2 linked regions of the Daphnia pulex genome follow. The protein of the gene in region 1 interacts with the protein of each later gene in a biochemical or structural test. Links are inferred from orthologs where the notes say so. Each region holds a gene or a part of one and is shown in the gene's direction. Other genes may lie near its edges. The genes, in order: E3 ubiquitin-protein ligase Arkadia-like and small ubiquitin-related modifier-like.

Evidence for each region.
Region 2: the proteins of E3 ubiquitin-protein ligase Arkadia-like (region 1) and small ubiquitin-related modifier-like form a complex in vitro, tested with the Homo sapiens proteins (3 studies listed by BioGRID). The link is inferred for Daphnia pulex from reciprocal best matches to the Homo sapiens genes RNF111 and SUMO1.

Annotation. Positions count from the first base shown.
Region 1 is NC_060024.1:8,990,815-9,003,426, reverse strand, and holds E3 ubiquitin-protein ligase Arkadia-like, read left to right. Parts: upstream 1-5,693; 5' UTR 5,694-5,854; intron 5,855-5,917; 5' UTR 5,918-6,006; coding exon 6,007-8,925; 3' UTR 8,926-9,452; downstream 9,453-12,612. Other genes in the region: SAFB-like transcription modulator, read left to right, coding at 1,539-1,660, 1,735-1,884, 2,191-2,619, 2,696-2,970, 3,320-3,766, 4,015-4,190, 4,267-4,676; UDP-N-acetylglucosamine transferase subunit ALG13 homolog, read right to left, coding at 4,757-5,176, 5,242-5,349; nuclear envelope integral membrane protein 1-like, read right to left, coding at 9,471-9,588, 9,664-9,744, 9,899-10,060, 10,127-10,467, 10,529-10,695, 10,763-10,776, 12,332-12,612. UniProt on the Homo sapiens protein: E3 ubiquitin-protein ligase. Required for mesoderm patterning during embryonic development. Acts as an enhancer of the transcriptional responses of the SMAD2/SMAD3 effectors, which are activated downstream of BMP.
Region 2 is NC_060017.1:271,546-282,734, reverse strand, and holds small ubiquitin-related modifier-like, read left to right. Parts: upstream 1-4,359; 5' UTR 4,360-4,512; coding exon 4,513-4,521; intron 4,522-4,730; coding exon 4,731-4,871; intron 4,872-4,932; coding exon 4,933-5,004; intron 5,005-5,079; coding exon 5,080-5,139; 3' UTR 5,140-5,287; downstream 5,288-11,189. Other genes in the region: putative leucine-rich repeat-containing protein DDB_G0290503, read left to right, coding at 333-564, 624-851, 918-1,142, 1,208-1,549, 1,625-1,948, 2,041-2,178, 2,235-2,513; serine protease inhibitor dipetalogastin-like, read left to right, coding at 5,439-5,463, 5,520-5,648, 5,718-5,870, 5,932-6,044; ADP-ribosylation factor 1, read left to right, coding at 7,263-7,410, 7,479-7,588, 7,646-7,771, 7,839-8,003; protein O-mannosyl-transferase Tmtc3-like, read right to left, coding at 10,081-10,332, 10,406-10,603, 10,668-10,853, 10,938-11,090, 11,174-11,189. UniProt on the Homo sapiens protein: Ubiquitin-like protein that can be covalently attached to proteins as a monomer or a lysine-linked polymer.

The DNA of each region.
Region 1 (12,612 bases):
TGTTAGGATGTAATTTATTTCACGTTAAAAAAGCTCCGTTTCTTTTTATGAGGTTGTGTTCTTGATTGGTGCGTGACTTGATTTTTTGTTGAGTTGAGAGGACTGTCGACTGTAATAACTTCCTTCAGATGACAGAGGAAGTTGTTTACTGGAAGGTAGGGGGGAGGTAGAAACTTGTTTTTGGTTTTCCTTGTGAATAATTTATATACCTAGTTGATAGTAGGTGTACCTGTACTATCTACTCCTGTTGCTGACAAAGAATAATTTAAATATTGGGAAGGGGGAAAAGAAAAGAACAGTTATGGGTCATTCCACTCGGCGCTCCTTTAACAATTTCTTGATGTTGACTCGGGGATTTTCACTTCTTTTTGTCTCGGGATGTAAAAGAATATTTGTTGACAAAAGGAATGCTGCGTCGGGCTAGAACACGGTTAAATGTGTTTGCGCCAAGCTTTTTATTTATTGTTAGGTTTAATCTGTGTTTCTCGACTCGTCGAAGATAAGAAGATTTCACGAAAGCGCCTGTGGAGTGAAATGTCTTCGTGGTGGCGTTTTGTTCATGACAACGACTTGTCATTGTATCACGACTTGAGCGTTAGTAATTTTCTCTAGTAGAAATACCCGCCTACCTCGATTTGCTCTAATGCGTTCTGAGATCTGAATTACTTGTTTCCACTACTCACGCAAACTTGCGGGTGCCTTCATCGCTGTTACATTGTCCGCAGCACAAAAGCAAATTTTGGTTTCCTGGTAGGCTTTAATTAGAAAATGTCGCCATACAATTCAGTGCATGAGGGCTGAGTTTTTTTGTGTTTTTGTGCCAAAGTGGGACGTGCCTTTTGTTCTACTGTTGTGTATGGCCAAGAAATTCTTCCACCGTGCGAGGATGAATCGGCAGAGGGATAGAAAGTTTTTTTTTTCCTTCTCTCCATTCTTTTCATTCTTTTTAGGAAGTTTTGATGGCACAAGTTGTCTTACCTTTCCCTTTTAGGGTTTTCTCTTGACCCTTTAGCCGCATCACATGGCGAAAATAACTCACGGTGGGAGTAGGGTATCCGTCGTGCCATCTCGCATTCCCCGTGGTGAAATTTTTCGGAGATACTAACCAAGTTCGTAACTTAGCCGTGTGGTGGTAACGCTAGCTAGTTGGCTCTTCTCTCTTTAGCCCCGGGGGTTTTTCTTCGACTGTGCCATATTTGTTTATTTATCACCGGAGTTTTTTTTTGGTGTGAACCGTGTCTCTGAGCAGACAAGTGAGTGGGTTGTGTGTGTCTAACCCAACGTCATGTCCCACTTGTTGCTGCGTATCCTGAGAAGCGCACTTAATGCTGAAGGGCAATGGGAATAAGTTTATTATTTTTTTTCTCAAAATCACTCAAAGCGTCACTGTGTTGTATGTGAGTGCTTTATCACATGACTGTATGATAAAATCTAAATATGCTGTCTCACTAGTAGTATTTCACCGAACGCTCAATTATGTTAGCTTGATCCTTTGAAATGGATGAATGAAGAAAAAATTCTCTCTATTTTCAAAACAGATAAGAAGAAAACCGTAGGAGGTTCTAGCAGTAATGGCGGTAGTCGTAACTTGTGGGTGAGTGGGTTGTCGACATCGACCCGCGCCACGGATCTAAAACATCATTTCTCTAAATTTGGAAAAGTACGTACCACTTCATGACGTGTGATGTGGGTGAATTGTGTAATATTAATATGCCCTTTTTTTTTTCTCTTCAGGTCATGGGAGCCAAAATAGTCACTTACGCTCGAACTCCAGGTGTACGGTGCTTCGGATACATAACCATGGCTACTAGTGAAGATGCATCCAAGTGCATTCAGTACCTCCATCGCACAGAGATCCACGGTCGGATGATTTCCGTAGAGCGGGTAAGAAGCGTTCGTAAATTTTATGGATTGTTTACTCGTGGGACCCTTAAACTAGACAGAGGAAACCGCATGATGTCTTAAAGTAAACGATCGATGGAATTGTGGTCGGTTCGTTGACGACATGACATGCAACATAATCATTTCTCCCTTGCCAAAGGATGAAGTTAGATAACTAAACTTGCTTACCTTAGGATAGGAGAAGCACATTTCTCTTTAGCTTTAATTATTTTAGTTTATTTCTGTCTCACGTTGTGATTCATCACACCTTCTAACCTCCAACTTTCGTGCTGAACTCTGAATCATCAGACCACAGGAGAAAATGGACCGCGTAAGGCTGATGTCATCAAATCTTCTGATTCAAAAAATTTGGCCTCTGCTGGAACCGAAGATGAAGTCCCTGAAAAAAAGAGTGCCGACAAAACTGATGAAACGGTAGCTGATTCGTCGCCCCTCGCTAAGAAAGGCGAAGTAACGACACCGGAAGTTGCTACATCCGCCACGACCGGGGACACGTCCGTCGCAGGAAATACAAAAGAAAAGGAGGAAGAGAAATCGACAACTCAAGGAGGAGACAAAGATGGCAAAATGGTGGTCGTCTCGTCGGCTCAGCAGCAGCGGGAAAATAGGGAACGAGTCAACCGTGAACGGATGGAACGTGAGAGGAAAGATCGACCTCGCCGACCCCCATCTCCTCATCGGCCACGTCAACAAGTCTTGACCTTCCAGCATATTCGGGTATTTGCAGTTTTAAAGAAACGGTCGATGGTGGAATAAGAAAAGCAATGACATCCATCCATATTATGAAAAAAAGGAGGAACGTGAGAAGCAGCGGATTCGAGAACGTGAGCGGTTGGAACGCGAGTCTGAACGCCGTCGTCGAGAAGAGATTGCGCGAATGCGTGAGTTCGAGCGAAAGCAGCGCGAGGAGGCGATCCGACTGGAAAAAGAGCGAGAGCGGCTTCGTATCGAAAGGGAGAGGTTGGAGCGCGAGAAAGCCGAAATATTACGCCTTGAACGGGAACAGCAGCGCCTCGAAAGGGAGAAAATAGAAGCTGAACGAGAAGAGCTGAAGCGTCGACAAGCCAGGTATAATTCTACTTGCCCTTCATCACACAAAATAGATAGGCTTATCCGCGGGAGGAAACCTTTAATGCGCCACGCCTTACGGAAGCCGCTTCCCACGTTCGTTCGTCGAACTTTAAAAAGGATAATGAACCATTCCGTTCAGCATCGTGAATTTAACGATTGTTTCGATGTCTCATGGTCGAATTCAACCATTCACAGTGCAATATTAAAAGAGATTGTCTCCCTTGCCAAAGGATGAAGTTTGATAACTAGACTTGCTTACCTTAGGATAGGAGATGAACATATTTTAGTAGAAGTTCTTACAGTTGAGTCTATTCCGTCTCGATTGTTAACATTTTTGTTTTTTCAGGTCTCTTGCCAAGATAGAAGAAGTAAGGCGCGCTACTAAAAGGACAGCACCCAATGATCGTGATGGGTATTTTGTCGATCGTAAACGCCTATCGATGGAAGGGTCGATGCGATTCGATCCATCATCACGCTTTGTTGATCCCAAGGGTAGCAACGCTGGAAGTGGCGGACATTTTGGATCGGGTTCTGCCTCCCTGAATGCTGATTATCGCGGTTCAAAGGTATCTGAACCGGTTCGCGGCGGTTACGACAACCACGCCCGCCGCTTCGAACGTCCACCCCCGTCATCTGTTTCTGCAACTGCCGGAGCGGCTGTCATTACACGACGCGTAGTCCAAGAAATATCAAGTGTTCGCAGAGACACTCGACTCCCACCGCCGTCACCACCTCCCCTTCCTCGTGATCGCTTGGATGACAGACGGGTCGTTGACAGGGGACGTGATGAGAGGTATGTAACTACTAAATGTGTGAATCTTCTTATATTTAATTTAAAAATGCAGCTGCACTCAGTGCTGCTTTACTTATGTGGAGGCAGTGCCATTTATCAGCTCGCTAAATTGAAAACGATTTTATTCCTAGCCTGTAACAAATTTTAACAGGAAAGTCATTCAAATCGTGACAATCCTTGTTAATCATTATCCAAAATTTTTCTTTCTGGATTAATGTACTTAACCTAATTACTTTTTAAAATTATAGATACGATCGCGGGAGCCGAAGCCGAGAAGGTTTTTCAGATCGTGACAGGGAGCGGGAAAGAGAGCGTCCGCGTGATCGAGGAGTAGGCAGGGGAAGTGCAACTGAACCGATACGGAACAACCGCATGCCGGAGAGAGATCATCGTGATCGATATGCCAACGACTCACGTGGGAAAGGTAAAAGCCGGATGGAAAGTGCGGTTGCGATCATATATTAATTACTATTTTGTGGTTTTCTCTTTTGTTCGAATAGATCACCGTTACAATGAGAGAGTGTCTGAGCCCTGGCAGCGAGGCCCTTCCAGTGCGAATGCCCCCGTATCAAGCGGAGGAGTTGGAAGTTCAAAAACTAATTACGGTTCCAATGGAAGCGGTAATACCATGCTGGGCAATGGAGTTGGATTGTCTTCTAACACCAGCTGGTCTGGCAACGGAAGTACGCAACAAGATCGCTGGAGCGCATCGTCATCCTCGTTAATGCCTGTCGGAAGGTCAATGGCGTCGTCTGGATCATTTAATAACAACTGGACTGGATCAGCTCCCCCTCTTAGTGGATCCGCGCAATATAATCCAGCGACAGGAAACATAGGGAGTCTTAACAACCCTGTTATCGGGCAGTCTGGATCCGTTGGCTATTCGGCAGATCGTTATTCGCGACACTAACTTTATCGCATCATATCCAACCGTTTTTTTTTTTCAACTTAGACGTTTACAATGTATGAAATCAATACACAAATTGAACTTTATTTTTGAAATCCCATCAATTTTTCAAGGTAGGCTGAGAATGCAACTGGATTATTTCTAGGAAATTTCTGGAGTTTAGTAGTTCTAAAATCAACAATGGTAGTTTTTAAGGTTTCTGGATAGCACATATAAACATGTCCTTCAGAATGTAACTTCTCAGCAAGTTCTAGCTGGTGATTGCCCATCAGCTTCTGGTTAACCACAACAATTAATGGCTTTGCTACACTGAGGGCCTCAAGACAACTGCCAGCACCAGCATGTGAAATGATTAGGGAGGCTTTTTCCATATCAGAAGAAATGTTTTCTTTAAAATGATAACAAGATATTTGTATTCTTCGTGAAATAGGAATTGGAGGTTCAACACCAAGTCCAATTTGCAGAACAAGATGTGTGTACCCATCATCTTCCAAAATCTGATGCTCAAATTTTATACATTATTATTTACTAGGAAAAATGTGTAATGCAACGTAAATATCGAACATACCTCTAACGTGTTTGGATGCAAAACTTGAGTTATTAATTCGTCAAACTGGGTAGTCCCTACAGTAACAAAAACGATTTTACTTCCCGATTCTTTATGTGTCACACTCATTTCGAACGACAGCAATACTAGTATTTCAGTTCACTTATGGACATTCCCCACAAAAAATTCTCAACTTGTTTACGAAATTGTGATATTTATTATTCAAAAAAACGAATAACTAATCTGTCAGAATGTCAGTCAGCCAGTCAGGCAAAAGGAAAAGAGACGATGACAGTTTTGTTCATATTTTTTTAAATATTATTGAATGAACTCTAAAATTACGTAAACTTTATTAATTTAGAAATTCTTAACTCATAAATGTAATTATTTTTAAGTTATTTAATGAATCATTTCATCATTCAAACTTACAACCAAAAATAAGTAAAAAAATCGATGTTGACCGAAATATTGGCACTTGGCAGCACCGTTGGCACTTGTTTACAGCAAAGACAATTGTCTCATCAGCTGTCCTTAACTGGAAAGAAAGGGTTTTGTACTTGATTGGCGTGACTCTTTGCCCTTTACCGAGTTTTCATACAGGATTACTGTTAAGTTTGTTTTTCAGTCTTTAATGGTAAGTCAAACTAATCTTAATTTTAATGACAAATGGTTTCATTATATAAACATATTTCATCAGGTGGTGTAGGGAGGAAAACGTCATCGTCTTTTCTTCCCTTGGGAGCATCTTGCCTCGAGCCGTCTCTATCGAGTGAGTTGTTATCAATAATGGGTGACGAACAAGCTGGCCCGTCTAGAAAAAATACAATGGACACTGAAAGATCCAATAGCTCGGGAACAAATAGTAGCAAGTCAGCAACAGAAAATGTTCCGAAACAAACATCACTTTCAGCAGAAGAAACAAACAATCACTTGGCATTTGGAAATGGAAGGACTAATCCGCCCAGAACACCTAGTAGGAATTGCCCTTCTATTGATGGTGAATGTCCATCAGGCCATTTTGATGAAGAGGATTTGGACATGCCAGAATTAGAAACTCCCAGCCCTGTCTTGATGCCGTCACAGCTGCTCTCACCCCCAGTTGCACTCCACTATGATGAAACTTTGCCATTGACTCTTCAAATGCCAACAAGTATTAATGTCAGTGTTAACTTGCAACCTTCAGTGTACAGTCTGTCTGGACCACCAGATCCTGTATTCCTTGACGACAGTATGGAGAGTGGGGAGAGAGAGATCACTATCACTCGAAATCCTTATTTCGATCCCTCTCTCTCACCTGGCCCAGTCGACGAGTTTCTTTCTCTTGCCTCCTTCAGTAGCCACGTCGATGGCTTTCACTTTGGACTGGAGGAGGCACCAGCACCTCCCCATTGGGCCAACAGTAACCGCGTAGAATCTTTTCCTCCAGCTGCTGCTTCTGCTGTAGCAGCATCATCTTCATCATCTGATGTCCGCCGAAAAAGACCGAATACAACTCAACAGGATTCAAATTGCAACGCATCGAAGTCCAAAAAACAAGCCGAGACTTCTGGTGGAGAACCTGTACCCGGTCCATCGGGTATCGGAGTTGCAAGAACGGTAACTGGCGATGATGGCCCAGTTGCTGATGATCTACAATTAGAATGTCTGACTGACGGTTCCTCCTCTGCTACCGAATCAGACATTGACGATGACGATAGTTGCATCGAAGTAGTAAGCGTCCGACCTGGTCTATTGCGTTCTCAGCATCAACCCGAAGTCGTAGATCTTACCATTTCAGAAGACGAAACGTCGACTCCCAATCCTTCTACATCGTCGGGCTATTCTCGTTCTACTGGGAGACAGCCCAAACCATCGTCGTCTGTAAAGTCAAGAGCTATACCTAAAGCAGAGCCTCCAATGGCACCAATACCGGTTGTGATTGAAGAGAACAATCAGCCAGACGCTGAAGTAAGACGAGCATCGCCGGCCTTTGTGTCCGTTACTCCATCGTCCTCTGCAGGAAACCGCCCAGGTGCTTGGTGCGGATGTCCAGGGCAGTTTTACGTGGACGGAGGACGGCCCACGCCCATGGGTGTAGCTTGGCCAAACAATGGTAATCCAATACGAGCACATTACATTCCTAATCAGTCTCTTCGACCATCTCCGCTAGCTCATCATGCCACTGCCTTTTCGTATACACCACCACCGCCAGCTTATCACCATCCTCCACCACCGCCAGTTCTGACTCTACGTTTGCCGTCAACCGTTCAAACCCACGGTGGAGCTCGTTCGCCCGTCTGGTGGAGTTATCCAAGTATGGCCGTTGAAACAGTAGCCACTCCGTCACCTCAACACGTAGCAGGAGATGGATCTTCTAATCAGGCTGCGGCCATTCCACTGCAACCCAGTCAGCTGGTTGAAGCCACTTCTGTCGCTCAACCTGCACCCGTTTTCGTTCCTCAAACAACTGGTATTTACCATGCGGCCCCCACTTCACGACCCGTGGACGGACGTTGTACGATGCCGCCTGCCATTGCTCGAAGCTTCATGCGTATCCATCCCATTCACCAGAGGATTTGGCATTCACAGCACCGCTCGCAAGAAGCTCTTCGACGTCATATGGACATGGCACAACGTGTCGCAGCTGGAGAAACCGTCGAAGTTAGCGGTCCGTCATCGATTCCGGATTCTCCGATGATGAGTCAAGGCATTCAAAATCAACAACAACCCACTGGTTTCTCTGGTCCGCCTCCTCCATATCATCCAGTTGCACTGGAGCGCAACAGCAGTCCTTCGCCACAATTCAGAACTGTTCACGCTCCCGATTTGAGTAGCCACATGATGCCGGCCGTTCAAGCTGAAATTGTCGTTGAAAGTTCTCCTGTCAATTTAGATCCTCGCCATCACCATTTGCCTCCTCCTCCTGCCTATGCTTTTGCTCCGTCTTACCACCACCACATTGCCCATTTCAGTCTGCCTGGCAATTTGCATATCAGTATAGGTCCAGGACCAGCCATCCCGCCCGCAGTACCACCACCACCACCTCGAACCGTACCAATGGAACGCGTTCCACCACCTGCCATGCCCGGTGTTCAAGGTGCCGCAGCAGTCGAAATCCAACCAGCCCATCAGCAGGAGCAACCTTACCACCGTGGCTACCCGTTGTACATTCACCACCAGCAGCACGGTCACCACCACCATCCTCCACCACCATTGATCCCACTGGGCAACAGTCCATTCTTGAGCGGATCACCACATCACTACCCATTTTTACGTCCTTCAACGCGTTTGGAAGAGTACATGCGCTTGGTGGAACAGCGTCGAATGGCCCAGCTCTCGCGTGGTGCCTCCCAGACGTGCATCGAACGCAATACTCTGTCGCATTCGTACAAGCGTCTCTTGCGTAGCAACAGCAGCGTTGATGGCGACAGTAATGAAGACAACACCGAAAAGTGTACCATTTGCCTGTGTGAATTTGAGGAAGGTGAAGATGTCCGTCGTCTACCTTGCATGCATTTGTTTCATGTCTCTTGCGTTGACCAATGGCTTACCACTGTTAAATTCTGTCCACTTTGTCGTGTTGATATTGAAGCCCAAGTGGAATCGAAAGAGCAAGGACAAGGGGATTCTCGTAGCTGGAGCTCGTCTTCAACTACTCCTGAAGGAGCTACTCTCCGTATACCTCCAGACGCAACCGAAATGGAGGCCGGAGCTCCAGCAAGCTGAACTTAACTTTTGCACATAGGTTATTCCTATTTTTTTTAAAGTTTAAATAACGCTAGTTTCCTTCAGTATATGATTATCCCAGTTCTCTTTCCTACTCTTTAATTCGAAGTTTTGTAGTGGTGTTTATATTAATATTTGTGTTTGCGTAAAATTAGCGTGATCTATGATGATGAAATGAGTCAGAAAGAAGAGTTGTTTATGATTAGTTTACAAACTAGTGTTGGCTGACTCGGGGGTTTCCCTGACCAGTGAAACGTTCTGCTCTACCTCAACTTTACCGTAGTAGAGGAATCAAGGAATGAGTCGCGAGTTTTATTAACAATCAGTACCGGCGCCTTTCTTCAACCTATGTTAACCCCACAGTTTAACTGAAATAAGGTTAAAAGCTTTCTTTTATGATTTTCATGTATTGAAATTAATTGCTTTGAAATCGACTTTGCTTTCAAATTTCAACTCTCACTCTCCGACCTCCTCCTCACCCTCCAGAAAAAAAAGGGGGAAATAAAAAGTTTGTTTCTTGCATTTAATTGATCATTTTCACTGTTTCATTCTTCATCTGATTCGTCGTCCGTCCATGTCTCGCTCTCTCTATACGCTGTCGTCTCGTAGTCGAGCACTTCACGATCTGAGAGATGTGACTTGCCCTCCACAAATTCAGCAAATCTATTAAAAAGAAGAGAAAAACAAAACGAAACGGTATTAACCAATCCATTCGGTTAAAATCCACAAGCTGCGTACCGAGAAGACCTTCTATTTCGATTATTTTTAGGTGGAGTCGAGACGAATTCAATACAACGAGGACTAGGTTTAGTTCGCATCCTATCAACAAAACCCATGCAAAAAATCAGGCCGGAGACAAAGCGAACAAAGGGTAGGGATTAGGGAATCTTACGACCGAATAAAAATTCCTTGACAAGACCACCCAATCTGCCACCATTCGATAGAAATGAAAGAATAATAAATTAAAAATCACCTGAGGGGATCCTTAAGTCGATTCATCGTTTTCCAGGCGTTGCATTGGGGACTTCTGCTGAATTCTCGTAATTCCTTTAGTCCTCGTTCAGTTTCAATTCGAGTTTGATCGACGTATTCATCTTCGGTTAATAAGCGCACGGTAGGGGGAAATCTTTTGAACCTACCACATCAAACGCAAATGATAATAATCATGAACTATCTCATTTATGATAAAATGTGCTATTACCACAGTGTCTGGCATCGAGCCCACCACGCTCCCGGAAAGTTATGCGAGACAACCGTGACTAAGATTATGGCCATTGCTCCTTCTTTATGTTCACTGCTTTCAAACACTAGGTACAAGCCACACAACTGAAGAGACCACTGAAGGAGATTAATGGTTCTAGTATTTGTGACTGGACCAAATCGGTAGCAAAATGCGAAACTAATCACTGAACTGGCGGCTAGGTAAGCAATCACATAGTAATGATATTCTCGAAGCACAGAGTACATGTTCTCCCAGAGACTTCTGATCAGGTAAAAGACTATAGAGCTCCCACCAATCAAGACAGCATAAGCACCAGATTTCTAACAAATTATAAAGTAGTTAGTTTTTAAGAAGTTTTTTTTTCTAATTTCAAAGACTTACTTTGGGAATAATCCTGCTAGTAAGATAGACAATAATGAGAATTGAACCCAATACTCCAACAAGCGTTCCAGTAGTGTAGTGAAATATAACTTTCTTACACAGTGTTGGTGCAACCGAAAAAAGGAGTATTCCAGCAATGAACATTAACAAACGATTAAAGTTGATTTCTGAAACAGAATGATATGTTTAATCATGGATTTAAAAATGTTAACACCTCAAAATATGTTTGCTTACGTCTGACATCTAATCTCAAGAGAAATTCAGATTTTGAAAAAACTCCTGTGCATGACATATTGAATGGTGATACCGAGATTGATTTCTCTTTCCAAGGAAGAAATGAAAACCAAGACTGCTGAAGTAATTCGTGAAGATGAACAACATGGCTTGCATTTTCCCCCTTGTAGATGTTAAAGTTGTCATCTTTTATGGTTAAATACACCTGGAAACAGAACATGTCTCGTAAAGATAAGGATGATTAATTAATACTTGATTAGACTTACTGTTGCAGTTTTCCAGAGCCCAAACACAGTTTTTGAATCACCAGGCCAGCAAAATATAGTCAACAACTCCTCTGAATGATCATTCGACACATTGTAAATATTCGCCGGCTTGATGTTATACTGATTCGGTGCATTGCCGGCTTTAACAGCTACATCATTCAACAAGAACACGATTTTAGAATTTAACAATGAAATTTTATATATTCAACATACCTCGAATGGCACAAAACACATGGTTAGAAAATGAAACTAGTATCACAACAAACAATACCGTTTTTCCTATTAAGGATCTAAGGACAGCGGAGCTCATGTTGTATGTTTGATTTTGTGTTGTGCCGCCATATTGTAAAGCAGAAGAATGCGTTGTTGCCTTGTTAATAACTTGAACAAATAGGAACAAATCATTTGATTAAATTTTTAAAAAATTAATTGCAATTTGTTTCTGCCACATTTAAACGCTAGTCAACTACCCCACCTAATTGACATAACAGAAGATTTTTTTTCATCATAATATAAATTTAAAAAAAAACAGTAGCGCCAATTTTAAAAAATAGAATCGGATGAGGGGGATGAAATTTACTTGCAGTTTCATTGAGTAAGCACGATGGAAAGCAAAATTGTCATGCGGTGCTAAAAAGAAATTCAATCGTGGATCTGAGTTTGTATTAACCAATTCCTTGACTAGCATATAATAATTGGAAAAAAACGTAAAACAACAATGGTTTACAACACCTACTAAGCAGGATGTTAGGATTAATTAGAGAAAAATGATTTGAAGTGTGTAGTTTTCCTGTAGTTGCACGTGTGATTTTAAGCAGAAGACGAATCACGAAAAAACGGCGCCCGAATCGTTCGACAAAAATTACTTGGTGAAAGTTTAAACAAGACATCTTATTTGTTTTAAAGAGCATGATTAAACTCAAGTGAGATATCACAATCATGATAAATAGAATGTACAACGGTTTGCGTTCGCCCTACATCAAGCAGCTGACCAACAATGATGTCGAGTTGATTAGAGTTCGAAAATCTCATCTTGAGATCTATCTCTGTGATTGAACATTGACTTTGTTTTCCTGCCTCTGGCTCCACCAACAACTTCTGTAACAGGCACATGGTCTGAAGATGTTGCAGCATTGAATTCTCCTCCTAGTTCTGCCAAACTCAGTCTTAATCTTGTTGAGGCTTGGGATCTGGGCCACGAACCTTTATTCACATCTGGATGATCCTTCATTACATCACTTTTAAATGGCAACAGTAATTGTTAGGTAATTTTTAAATATAAAAATGTGAACAAACTGCATACCTTGTCTTTTGTAATTTTTGCGCTTTTGATTTGGCTTCTTTAATTTGACTATCAATGTCACCAAGATAATCATGGATATTTTTGTCACAGTCAATACTGGTGCTACTTGCACTGCTAGCGGAACTGGTCCTTGCCAGCTCTGGATTGTTTTTCATGGACCTAAGGCTAACTTCAGAGAAAACCGATGGGATTTCCGTACAGGATGCATCCAAGGTAGGAAACACAGTTCCATTTGTTTCATTTTCTATCATCAATCTGGCAAATGCTTCAGTGCCAGCTGG
Region 2 (11,189 bases), on another chromosome or scaffold:
TGGATTGAGTAGCTCAATGAACAAAACCGAAGAAACAACGCCCATTTCCTGTTGTGGGAACTTGCCGGCGATATGACAGAGTGACAGAGGTCGCCGTTTCCCTTTCGATTTGAAATAAGTCGATGATGTCGCTCGTGTCATCCTTGTTTCCAAGTGAATTGAAGTCTTCCCGCTTCCTCGAATTCCTCAATGCCTTGACCTCAATCGACAACATTTTAAAAGATTCTAATCGTAGGCATGGTGATGTCATTTGCCATGCGAATTAGGCTATAACTCGTCTCTTTTCCCAATCTGCGGTAAATAACACATCTAATCGAGTTTCGAAATGGTAGGCATTCGGACATCAGGGACGCTATTTTGACGCTGGTCGGAGCAGTTAGAGAGCAGACGGGCAAGCTCGAACGCCACGAACTTCGTGAGAGGCAGCTGGGAGATGCCCTGACGCGTTCCCTTAGAGATCTTGATTCACGAACACGTGGTCAAGATAAGAATCTGGAGAACCTGGCTATCCTCATGGCCCGAACCGATGAGCGGCTCCGTAAGATGGAAGAAATGGTCATACAGGTAACTTCAAGTCGATCTATAATTAAAGGTCAAATATCAACCACAATATTTTATATCAGAGGGACGAGAGAGAGAGAATTCAACTCCAGAAAATCACTGACAATACAGTGGCTATCCGCAATGGAATTGAATCCGGAAGAAGTGCCGGTGCTCCTAGTGGTCCTGCTCCGGCAGCCGCTTCAACTGGAGATCTCGGCGAAGTACTGAAACAGCTGACTCGCACTCGTAAAAAGGTGGAGAGCGTGGAAGAATCATTGCAAAACCGTCTGTCAGTTGTGGCTAACGAAGTAAGTATTAAGAAAATTAATCCAGTCAAGATCGCGAGTGAGAGCTACATGCTGTTAACTTCCTAGGTGAAAATCGTTGGAGAAAAGTACGAAACGCGCAGTGAGAGACTAGAGAGCTTACAGTTGACTACCATGGAGAACCTGGGCAAAGCTCAAGCTGGCGATGCCGAGAAATTGCGAGCTGCATCTGTCAATCTGGTGGCTACGGAAGGCAAATGGCGACAGTTTTTCAGCGATGCTCAGAATCTGGTCAACCAGTTTGGAGTTGGTGTCAACCGCATTTCTGATCACGTATACGAGTTTCAGAGTTCATTCTTGAGAACAGATGTCAATGAAAATTTCATGATTGCATCCAGGCGAGTCGAATGAAGAATGACACTTCAGCCATCTTAGTCGGTATTGAAAAGCTGGAGACATCTTTGGAGAATTCCGGATCGTCTTCCGGATCGCAGAGCAATCCTGAGGCCCTTGTTTCCGCTATTCAAGTCCATCTGAAACCAACGCTCGATGCTGTTCATTCACTGGTCAACGACTCGTACCAGTCACAGATGAAACTAGACGAAAACTTCAAAGAAGGTTGGCAATCTTTGTCACGCGGAATTGACAAAGGTGTGATGAATGTCACCGATGTGTTTCAAACTCGACTTGGAGCATTTGAACACAAAATGAGTGAGAGTCAGAAGCTTATCCAAGACCAGGTAATGCCAATAATCTCTTTCACAATCAAATAATAATTGAATATCATTACCACATGATAATTTTTCATGAATTAGGTGGAGGAATCTGGAAATATGGCCGAGACATTGGCCGACAGGGTGGACAAAAGCTATGCAAGTCTTGCCAAAGAAATTCACGGGTTGCAAAAAGTAGAACAAGTACTTCTCGACACGGCTGATGGAGTTCTTGATACGAAACGACGTCTCGAATTTGCCGTCCAGCAAATTTTGCTTGAATTGGGCGACTCAATCCGCAGACAAACGGGCGATCTGAACTCGACATTAGCCCGCAAGGTCGACGACGTCACCTTCTCGGTCATCAAAGATCAAAGTACCGCACTTACTAACATGACAAGTAAACTAGAAAATGAACTCGGACAGGTACACGGACTATAAAAATGATTTTACTTTTATTATTAGTTTTTTTTTTCCCTATTTACTAATTTATAGAATTCATTTCTAAAATCATCTAGGTCTGGCGTCAGATTGGCGTGCTATACCAGAGCGCCAGTCAATCACAAGAATTGTTGCAACGAGTGGAACAGCAGACAGCCCAACACGTCGGCGGTAGTCTTCAAGCTCTCAGCAGCATGGACAAAAGAGTTGGCCAGGTACGAATATCTTCGAACGACATTATTATGAAATTGATTAATGAACTTTGTTATAGGTAACGGAACGGGTCAACGAAGTTGACGACCATTTGAACTTTTTGCTGGGCCGCTTGTCGTTAGTAGTGCAGGAATTCAATCAAGTGAGGGGTGGATTGGGTGAGGCTCTCGAATCACTTCGTTCAGGACTTGCAGTCACAGGCCAACAGCCAAGTACGACGGCCGGTAAATCCTCTTCACCTCCTTATGACGTTTCCAGTGGTCCAGTACCCAATCAAGAGGACGTCACCGTTATCACGCGGAAAGAGAATATTAATAACGACAGCGACGAGAATTGAAATTGAATTGCTCATTCGTGACTGAGCTGTAGACAATAGCATTGAGCTTCTTTGCAAAATTGAGAACAGTAGACATTCGTAGACTTAACTCTAGTTTAATTTTTATGTAGTCACAACTTTCATTTCGGACGAAACACATAAAATATAAGTACAGTGCTCATTGAGTAGAATCAACCCCACTCTATTAGCCAAAGTAGATTCTCATCGTACGCAACCAAATAAATTACCGCCAAGTTTTTAAAATCCTATCAATCAAACAATACAAAAAATACGGTCTGTATTCGTTCCTGCGGCGAACGAAGATTAATTGAATTCCACGCCACATGTCTCACATAATAAGTTGCTCCTGCTGCGTGTGTCAACTGGATAATGCACCTTCTGCCTCCGTTCTATTTTTTTCTCATTCAAATGTGAATTGTACACTCGTTGCCAAAACAAATAATACATTAGATACACATTTGTATATGAATCACACGGCTAATACTTGAATCAATATGACACATGTTTCGTATCTTTTTTGACAATTTGACAATCGTGTGGCTTAGTGAGTTGTACTTTTTTCCTCTCTAGTTCTATATTGCATTATAGCATGGATGAAGTCAATACAGGAAACGAACAAGTTTTGACAAAGATTGATTGGCTTCCTCGTCTGACTGTTGTTCAACTACCGAAGGATCAGTGCAATGCTTAAAAAATATTTCTGTAAAGAAGAGGCATCATCTTGTATAATAAAATTTATCTTGTTGTAATAAAACCCCCAAACCGTCTCAAAGGTAAGGTTTTATTTCATACTAAAGCGCAATAATCTAGAACAAAATAATTTGTACAACAACGCATTAATAGCTATATGGAATTAATTAATAAAAATGGCAATAAATTCGACTCCTAAAATGAAAATGACGCTGTTGGAAATTTTTCGTTGGGTTAGCAACAAGTTTGACTACTAAAAAAAATTGCTCGAATTCCAGTGGAAGGTTTACAGAATCAAACCAAAATTTAACATTCATTCAAAAATATCTAATAAAATAGTCTTCTATAATTTCGGTTTGCTGTACTCCATAAGACACAACTTGTCAGTAAGCAAGAAATTTTCTTAAAATTCCCCTGGAATAGGATGCTATTGGTCGATTAATACTGGTGTGTCGCTCATTCAAAAGAACGAAGTCAGCAAACAGAAAAAAATCCGACGATGCGAAACTGTAACTGTAACAACACAAATTATTTACTACCTACAGATGTCGCAACAATGTTCCTTTTTTTATTACGACAGCATTATCAATTCGTACAGGGAAAACCAGCAGTCGTCCCGCCATTTAATAATTCAAGTCATCAACTCACCAAATTCGATTCTAGTTTGCTAACTGATTATTGGAGTAACTCGTTTCTATGCTGCGGTTGGCATTTACAATCTCAGCAAAAATTTTTATGGAGTGAGTGCTATGGACGTAGTGACGGCTGTAAACCTATTAATTCATGAAACATTAATATGATGTATGATTATCAAATTAAATTAAGGGACATCAACTGCACGCACACGTTGCTAATAATCATCCATAACGATTGCTAACTGTGTAATAATTGCTTAAGCAGCCAAAATGTAGTCGAAGAAGATCTCAATTTATATTTTTATTGAATCAAGCCATTGGATATCATCAGTCTTAATTTTAAATATTATCAATCCCAAATTACATATTGTGCAATTGTTTCAAGCAAAATATTCTTCAAAGCAGCAAAAAATTTAAAAAAAATCCTACAAATTTTATTAATATATTCCAATTTATTTAAAAAAAGTTTTTTAATTTAAAAAAATGTACTCATTTCATACGTGGCCGGCCGTTGTTAAAATAAGTTTTTAGTGCAGTGCCGGCATCCAGACGTATATAGCTGGTGCGGCAACGTTTATTCTCGGCGCTTTTTTGGCCCACGCCATTATTCATTATTCTTCAATAGAGTCGTCTCAAACGTGCTGCTAGTTTTAGAAAAAGAACTTGTTTTAACCATGGCTGATGTAAGCACGTAACTATCTATGTTACTTTTTAAGTATTGCTAAATTTACCCCATTCGTTTCTTTTTCCATAAAATTTGTTTTCACGTGTTGTCTTTGCTGGATAGTCGATTTTTTTTTAGTTCTGATCATGTGTTCGATATTTTAACTGTTTGCCTTTGCATTACCCTATACCAATTTGGCTAACTGTGGTTTCTATTTTTAATATACAGGATCAGAAACCTGATGCCGGTGATGCAGGATCAGAGTACATCAAATTGAAAGTTGTTGGCCAGGATTCAAATGAAATTCACTTTCGAGTAAAGATGACGACACAGATGGGCAAACTCAAGAAGTCTTATAGTGAAAGAGTGGTAAGGGTTTTTCCTGTCATTTTTTTTTTCACTTATTGATAAAGATTTTCTTTGTGTTCAGGGTGTGCCAGTTACTTCGCTGAGGTTTTTGTTTGATGGAAGGCGAATTAATGATGATGAAACCCCTAAACAGGTATGTTGTGTCTAATGCACTTAGCTGATGTGTTAAATGATATGCAAGTAATGAATTTCTGTACTGCTGTTCTAGTTGGAAATGGAGAATGATGATGTCATTGAGGTTTATCAGGAACAAACTGGTGGCAATTAATTTAAGAACCTCGATGCATTCATGGAAAACTTTCCACATTTTCTGGACAAAACTGTCTTTTAATTTCCAATGTTGTCATCAAAATATCGCCCTGCTTTCTGTTCTTCATTTCCAATCGAATAAATAAAACCATTTTCGTAACCGAGAATGATCCTTTCGTTAACTTATGGGCACTCTGCCACTTGTTTCTATCAACTTGTATTGCTATGAATATTGACATCAAAGTTCAAGGATGAAAGGTCTTGACTTCCATTTCTTGCTTTTGATCGCAAAGTGCGTACAAACCTTTTCGAGAGAGGATGCATTGCACAACGCTGTTGCTTGGTAAAAATAAATTGTCAATCAAGAATTTATAATATACTTTATTTTGTGTTGTTCAGTTGTACTAGTAGTAGGTGCAACAAGTTGTAAAATTCCCAAAAGTTATAAACCACTTTGTGGGGTTAACGGGATTTCCTACACGAATCTGAAGGCTTTACAGTGCCATAATAAGGCTAGCCCTGGAAACAGTAGGCTATTTGAAATATTCTTTTTTAGGAAATGGTTCCATCCGTGTTGAATTTGTTTGGTTTTCTCAGTGATTCGAATAGCTTATAAAGGACGCTGTCTTCGACCTGATATTCGTGAATGTAACTATTCTTCAGTCGTGAAAAATGTCTGCGGCAACGACGGGCTTACCTATCTGAATCCCGCAATGGTTGCATGCAAGAACAAATTACAGCCTAAAAAACGTATATTTTTATATCATACATAATTAAACGATGCACAGTTGATATTTTTATGACATTTTAGAGGTGAAGATTATTAGCAAGGGCAAATGTAAAAGTAAAACAAACGCTCGAAGAAGAAAAGTGCCAAATAAAACAGTGAGACCCGGAAACGTCACGGGACCAAAGCAGAAATAGGATTACTCCCCCAAAACCTCACTTCGTTCGTTATAACTTGTATCATGCCAAATTAGACTCTAAACTCTCAAAGTCAATATATGTCAATAAACATGACCAACTTCTGTTTAAAATAAACGGCTGGGTTCTGACAAGAGATCCGTGTTACTAATGTGTCAACTATGCCACAATGCCGGCTCGTCATTCAATTTTCTCGTGCCATGTACTATATTTTTTAAAAAATTCGCCGGGTTTCATTTCTCAAAATAGTTCAGATTAATGCAAGCATTCTTAACAGTCGGCGGCCGTTTTTCAAGGAAGACGGATCTACTAAGATGACGTGTTAAGTTCGTGCACAATACGAAAAGTGCCTTTAATCCTTTTTTTAAAAGACAAAACATATGGTTAATAAGCGCATCGGCTTCCAACATACTCGATAGAGTGGGAATCAAACAAGTCACGTGACTTGGACTGTGCTATAAAATTCGATCCAAGCATTATTTTAAAAAAATGTCTCCCTTACTCACGCCTCTAGTGTATACAACTTCCAACTATTAATAATAGTACTAGATGTCTTGATTTTGTATAAAAAAGGTAAATCCTATTATGAGCTATCCAATCCTCTTGATTGAAAATAAATTTTACAAATAATTGTAATGACAAATATGAACATGCAGTTAACAATTAACGTTCTAATTCTTTGATAGTGTTTTTGTTTTTAGTCACTAGGAGCGCATGAGACAAGCTTAAAGGTGAGTGGGCGAGTCTCTACGATTTCCAGAAGAGGGTCGGGCACAGCTTTTTCTACTTCATACTTTTTGACGTGGCAACGTAACGTTGAATAGCTAGTTGAAAGAGGTCTTCGTCCGCCATTATTAACCCTCTGCTCGTAGTCTAATTCGGGCTCGTTCATTCTTTGGAATCCGTTGCGTTCGATTCAGAGTCCGTAAGTTACCTTCACCACATTTACTAAAGAGTCGAATATGTCAACTTCTAAGTGTATTAATAATTAGTTCATTTTGCGAAGCACTTGTAATTGTATGTCGTGTCGAGTCGGTTCTGCCACTCCACAAACTTCACCGAGTCGGCGTTGAGCAAGGGTTTGACAGTTGCTCAATGTCTAGCTTCAGTTTAGTCATTAGTTAGCAAAGATATATCTTTGTAACATTTTCCAGTGATTCTAATTGCCATTCTTCCTTTTTTAGGTTATATTCTTAAGTTATTCCATCCAACTTTGCAATGGGAAACGTTTTCGCCACCCTGTTCAAAGGCCTATTTGGCAAAAAGGAAATGAGAATATTGATGGTTGGACTTGACGCAGCTGGTAAAACTACAATTCTCTACAAACTCAAGTTAGGTGAAATCGTCACAACAATTCCCACAATTGGTAATTTATTCAATTTTCAGCAAATTTGACTTGCAGTTTTTATCATGTAATTTGTTTTTATTCCCAAGGTTTCAATGTAGAAACAGTTGAATATAAAAACATATCTTTCACTGTTTGGGATGTTGGTGGCCAGGACAAAATTCGACCATTGTGGAGACATTACTTCCAAAACACACAAGTATGTTTATTAAGCTAAAAATTTGAGTGACTTTTCTAATTGTCCATTACAATCTAGGGTCTCATCTTTGTAGTTGATTCTAACGATCGTGAGCGTATTGGTGAAGCCCGAGAAGAGTTGATGAGGATGCTGGCCGAAGATGAACTCCGTGAAGCCGTGTTGCTTATTTTTGCAAACAAACAAGTATACTTGTCTTTCATTTTCAAAAATGTTTTGACAACAATGACATCATTATTATCCTTGTATTCAGGATTTGCCGAACGCTATGAACGCCGCCGAAATCACAGATAAACTTGGACTTCATTCTCTGCGCAACCGTAACTGGTATATCCAAGCAACCTGTGCCACCAGTGGAGATGGACTTTACGAAGGGCTTGACTGGCTTTCAAACCAATTGAAAAATGCGTCGCGCTAAAGAAAAGAAGATAAAAAGAAACAAGATTTTCAAATTCATATTTTTCAGCTCTAGTAATCCTTGCCTCTCGGCCTCCTTCGCCACCTTTCATCTTTTTTTTTTTGCCCCCCTTCCATCGAGAGTAAGAAAAAGGAAGGCAAACACTTCTGATCCTACTTGAGGGTCCTCTCGCTGCTCTTACAAGGGACATTCCTGGTTTATTCATTTCAGATAAATTCTTTTTTCTCTTCAAAAATGGAAGTAAGCTTTTTTTTTTCTAATGTTCGTAATCGGTTTATTAGCACTTGAGGCAAGGACGTCTGTATATTGAGAACCAAAAAGGCGATTTAAAAAAAGCAGCGGTACTGAACAAGTGTTGCCACCTTTTGTTTCTGTTTTTCCGTGTGCTACAGTTAGGCCCTCATCATCCTCCATCTTTTTCATCCCTTCTATTTTAAATCTAAATTTGTCTTGTGCAAAAAAAGGTAAAATCTTGAGTACGCCAGCAAACATAATCGATACCAACGATGAACAGTCCCCCTTTATTTTCTATTTCCATTTTGTTGTTTCCTCTTTATTAGTTATCTTTTTCGGTTAATCTTGGAAAAGATCTTGGAAAAGAAACAAATGGGACGAGAACATCGCGAGTTTCTCTCAGTGTGCTGGGTGATTCCAGCTGGATATGTGCTGTTTGTTGCATACAAGGCAATACACATCTGCCCAGCCGTTTACGTTCTGTTTAATGTAAATTGTCATTTTTTTAATCCTCTGATTAGATGTCAGATCGTAAATTGATCATTATGGTGGTGTTTATTCATTAAATAGGAAATTTAAAGTTTAAAAAACAGTTCTGTGTCGTGGAGAGAAATTTAATTTTACTCGTTTAAAAATGAAAGTACAGTAAATTTTAATTCCGACTTGCTTTTCGAAACGAATATTAAAGTAATTTTTCCATATAGTCTCTAGTGGCACTCCTATGTGTTCATAAGTTTTTTGTAATTCCATGACGGGGTTAAAAACCGGTTAAAATTGTAATATGCATACCTTTCCCAAGCCTTGTTCGTCAGACTTAAAACACCTGTGTTTTATCGCGAGGATATTCTTTTAAAAAACCTAAAATTATTACGAAAAGAAAAATACGTATAGATTTTCATAGATTCAAAACGTTTATCTCGAATCAAATACACGTAAATATACAAATAGGTATATGCGAATTTTTGAGTATAGATAGTGTGAAAGTAGACAAACTAGAATTCGAGAACGAAAACTAAACAAGATGAACGGACAAATATGGAATGGCACTTTGCACTTGCGATCAAAATGCCGATTGTGATTTCGAGGATGAAAGGATATTATTTCATAAATGAAGCTCATATCACAGTTTTGGCCTTTTTTTGTAATCGAGTGAAATGCGCACGGTTGTGCGGTTCAGCTGCGACGTACGTAAATAAGCCTCCTCTCATCCATAGTATATGCCGCCCACCAATTTGCGTGATAGTACACGCGAGAAAAAACGGACAACCGGACCGGACAAGGTCAAAAGATAGCAAAGCTCCAACACTTTCACCAGCATACAAAAATAATGGCGTGAATCAAATATTTCTCTCTGTTCTCTCATGTCTTACCGTATTTCACACATATGTTGTCAACATTTATAAATATCAAGGCACCTTCACACTGAACCTGAATTCATCAGCTGCAAATTCCAAATACTTTTCTGGTACTCTCTTAAAACATCTGGACTTGATTAATAGATAGTAGTTTGAAGGAAAAGGTGAGATACAAGTAAAGCGATATGAAAAGTTGTTCAGTCCCTTTCCAAAGACTCTGAATCTGGTTTTGCAAATGGAGTTCTTGGAATGTCAGTCAGCAACCTAGGCAATCAGCAATCATACATACGTACACACCAACACACAGACGACTCAAAAGCTCACGCCAAATGTCACTCGCGTTTGAAGATCACTTAATCGAATAAACAAGTCAAAGATAGGGGCCATGGAGATATTAACAAGGATCAGTATGGGCAGGAGAAGCCTCGTCAATCATCTGGAGTGGGGTAAAGGATGGCTGGGGTAAAAATTATGGCATTGATCAATGATCAAAGATGCTGGTCTTTCTTATCGATTTTCTTTTGCTGCTGTTTTTTCTGCTGAGCGGCAATCAATTTGGCAATGCGCGTCTGAACGATGTTCAGGTGGCGGACGATGTAGTCCTCGTGAGGAGCCAATCGGTGGGCTTGCTGCAGACACTTTTCGGCAGCACTTAAGTCTCCTCGCTCAACGTAGACAACGCATAAATTGTGCTGTCCTTGCACATTCATCGGATCCAGCTCCAGGATTCGGATGTAACACTGAAAGTGCACGCACAAAAAAAAAACTATTAGACAACAGATCGAGCGCTTGAATATATTTAAGTAATATTACTCCTTCGGCAGCTTCGAGGTCCTTCATGCTGTTGATGTAGATGTCTCCCAACAGAATAAGACCTTTGATGTGATCCTGATGATGATGAACGAGCTGCTTGAGAAAAGGTACAGCTTCCAACGGTCGTCCCGTGTCGCTGAGTAAAAGGGCCAAATTGAAGAGAGCCGACCGAAAGTTTGGTTTGAGTAACACTGATCCCTAGAATTCAAAGTTAATTATACATTTTAACTCTCCGTATTATTATTAGCTTGAGGGAGTATACTTTAAAATAATGTTCGGCTGATGGCATGTCTCCGTTGTCCATAGCCAACATTCCAAGGTTGAATAAAGCTCTTTCATTAATGGGATCGAGCTGTAGCAAATGTTTTAAACGTTTAGTGGCTTCTCGTCGGCGCCACTGAGTAACCTCGGCATTGACTTCACTCTGCGAAGAATCCGATTCAGCGTTCTGGATAACATGTAATCAAATTGCAAAAACAGACGAAAAGTTGAAGGATAGTTAAGCTTGTCTAGAGTTTTAATGATATTTTACATCTTGATGGCCTTTATCGTTTGCGGCCATTTCTTGAAGGACGATAGCCGAGTTCAGTAGAGACGCTTGATGATCGGGTTCCAGTTCCAACGCTCGCTCCAAATACGCCAAAGCTTGACTAGGCTTCCCTTGCTCTAACAGAACCACTCCCAGCTGTCAAATAAAAGAGAAAGTTAGCCAGACATACTGAAAAGAGTCGACACATTCGCGTAAATTTGACGAAAGCGGAAACTTACGTTGTAATAAATATCT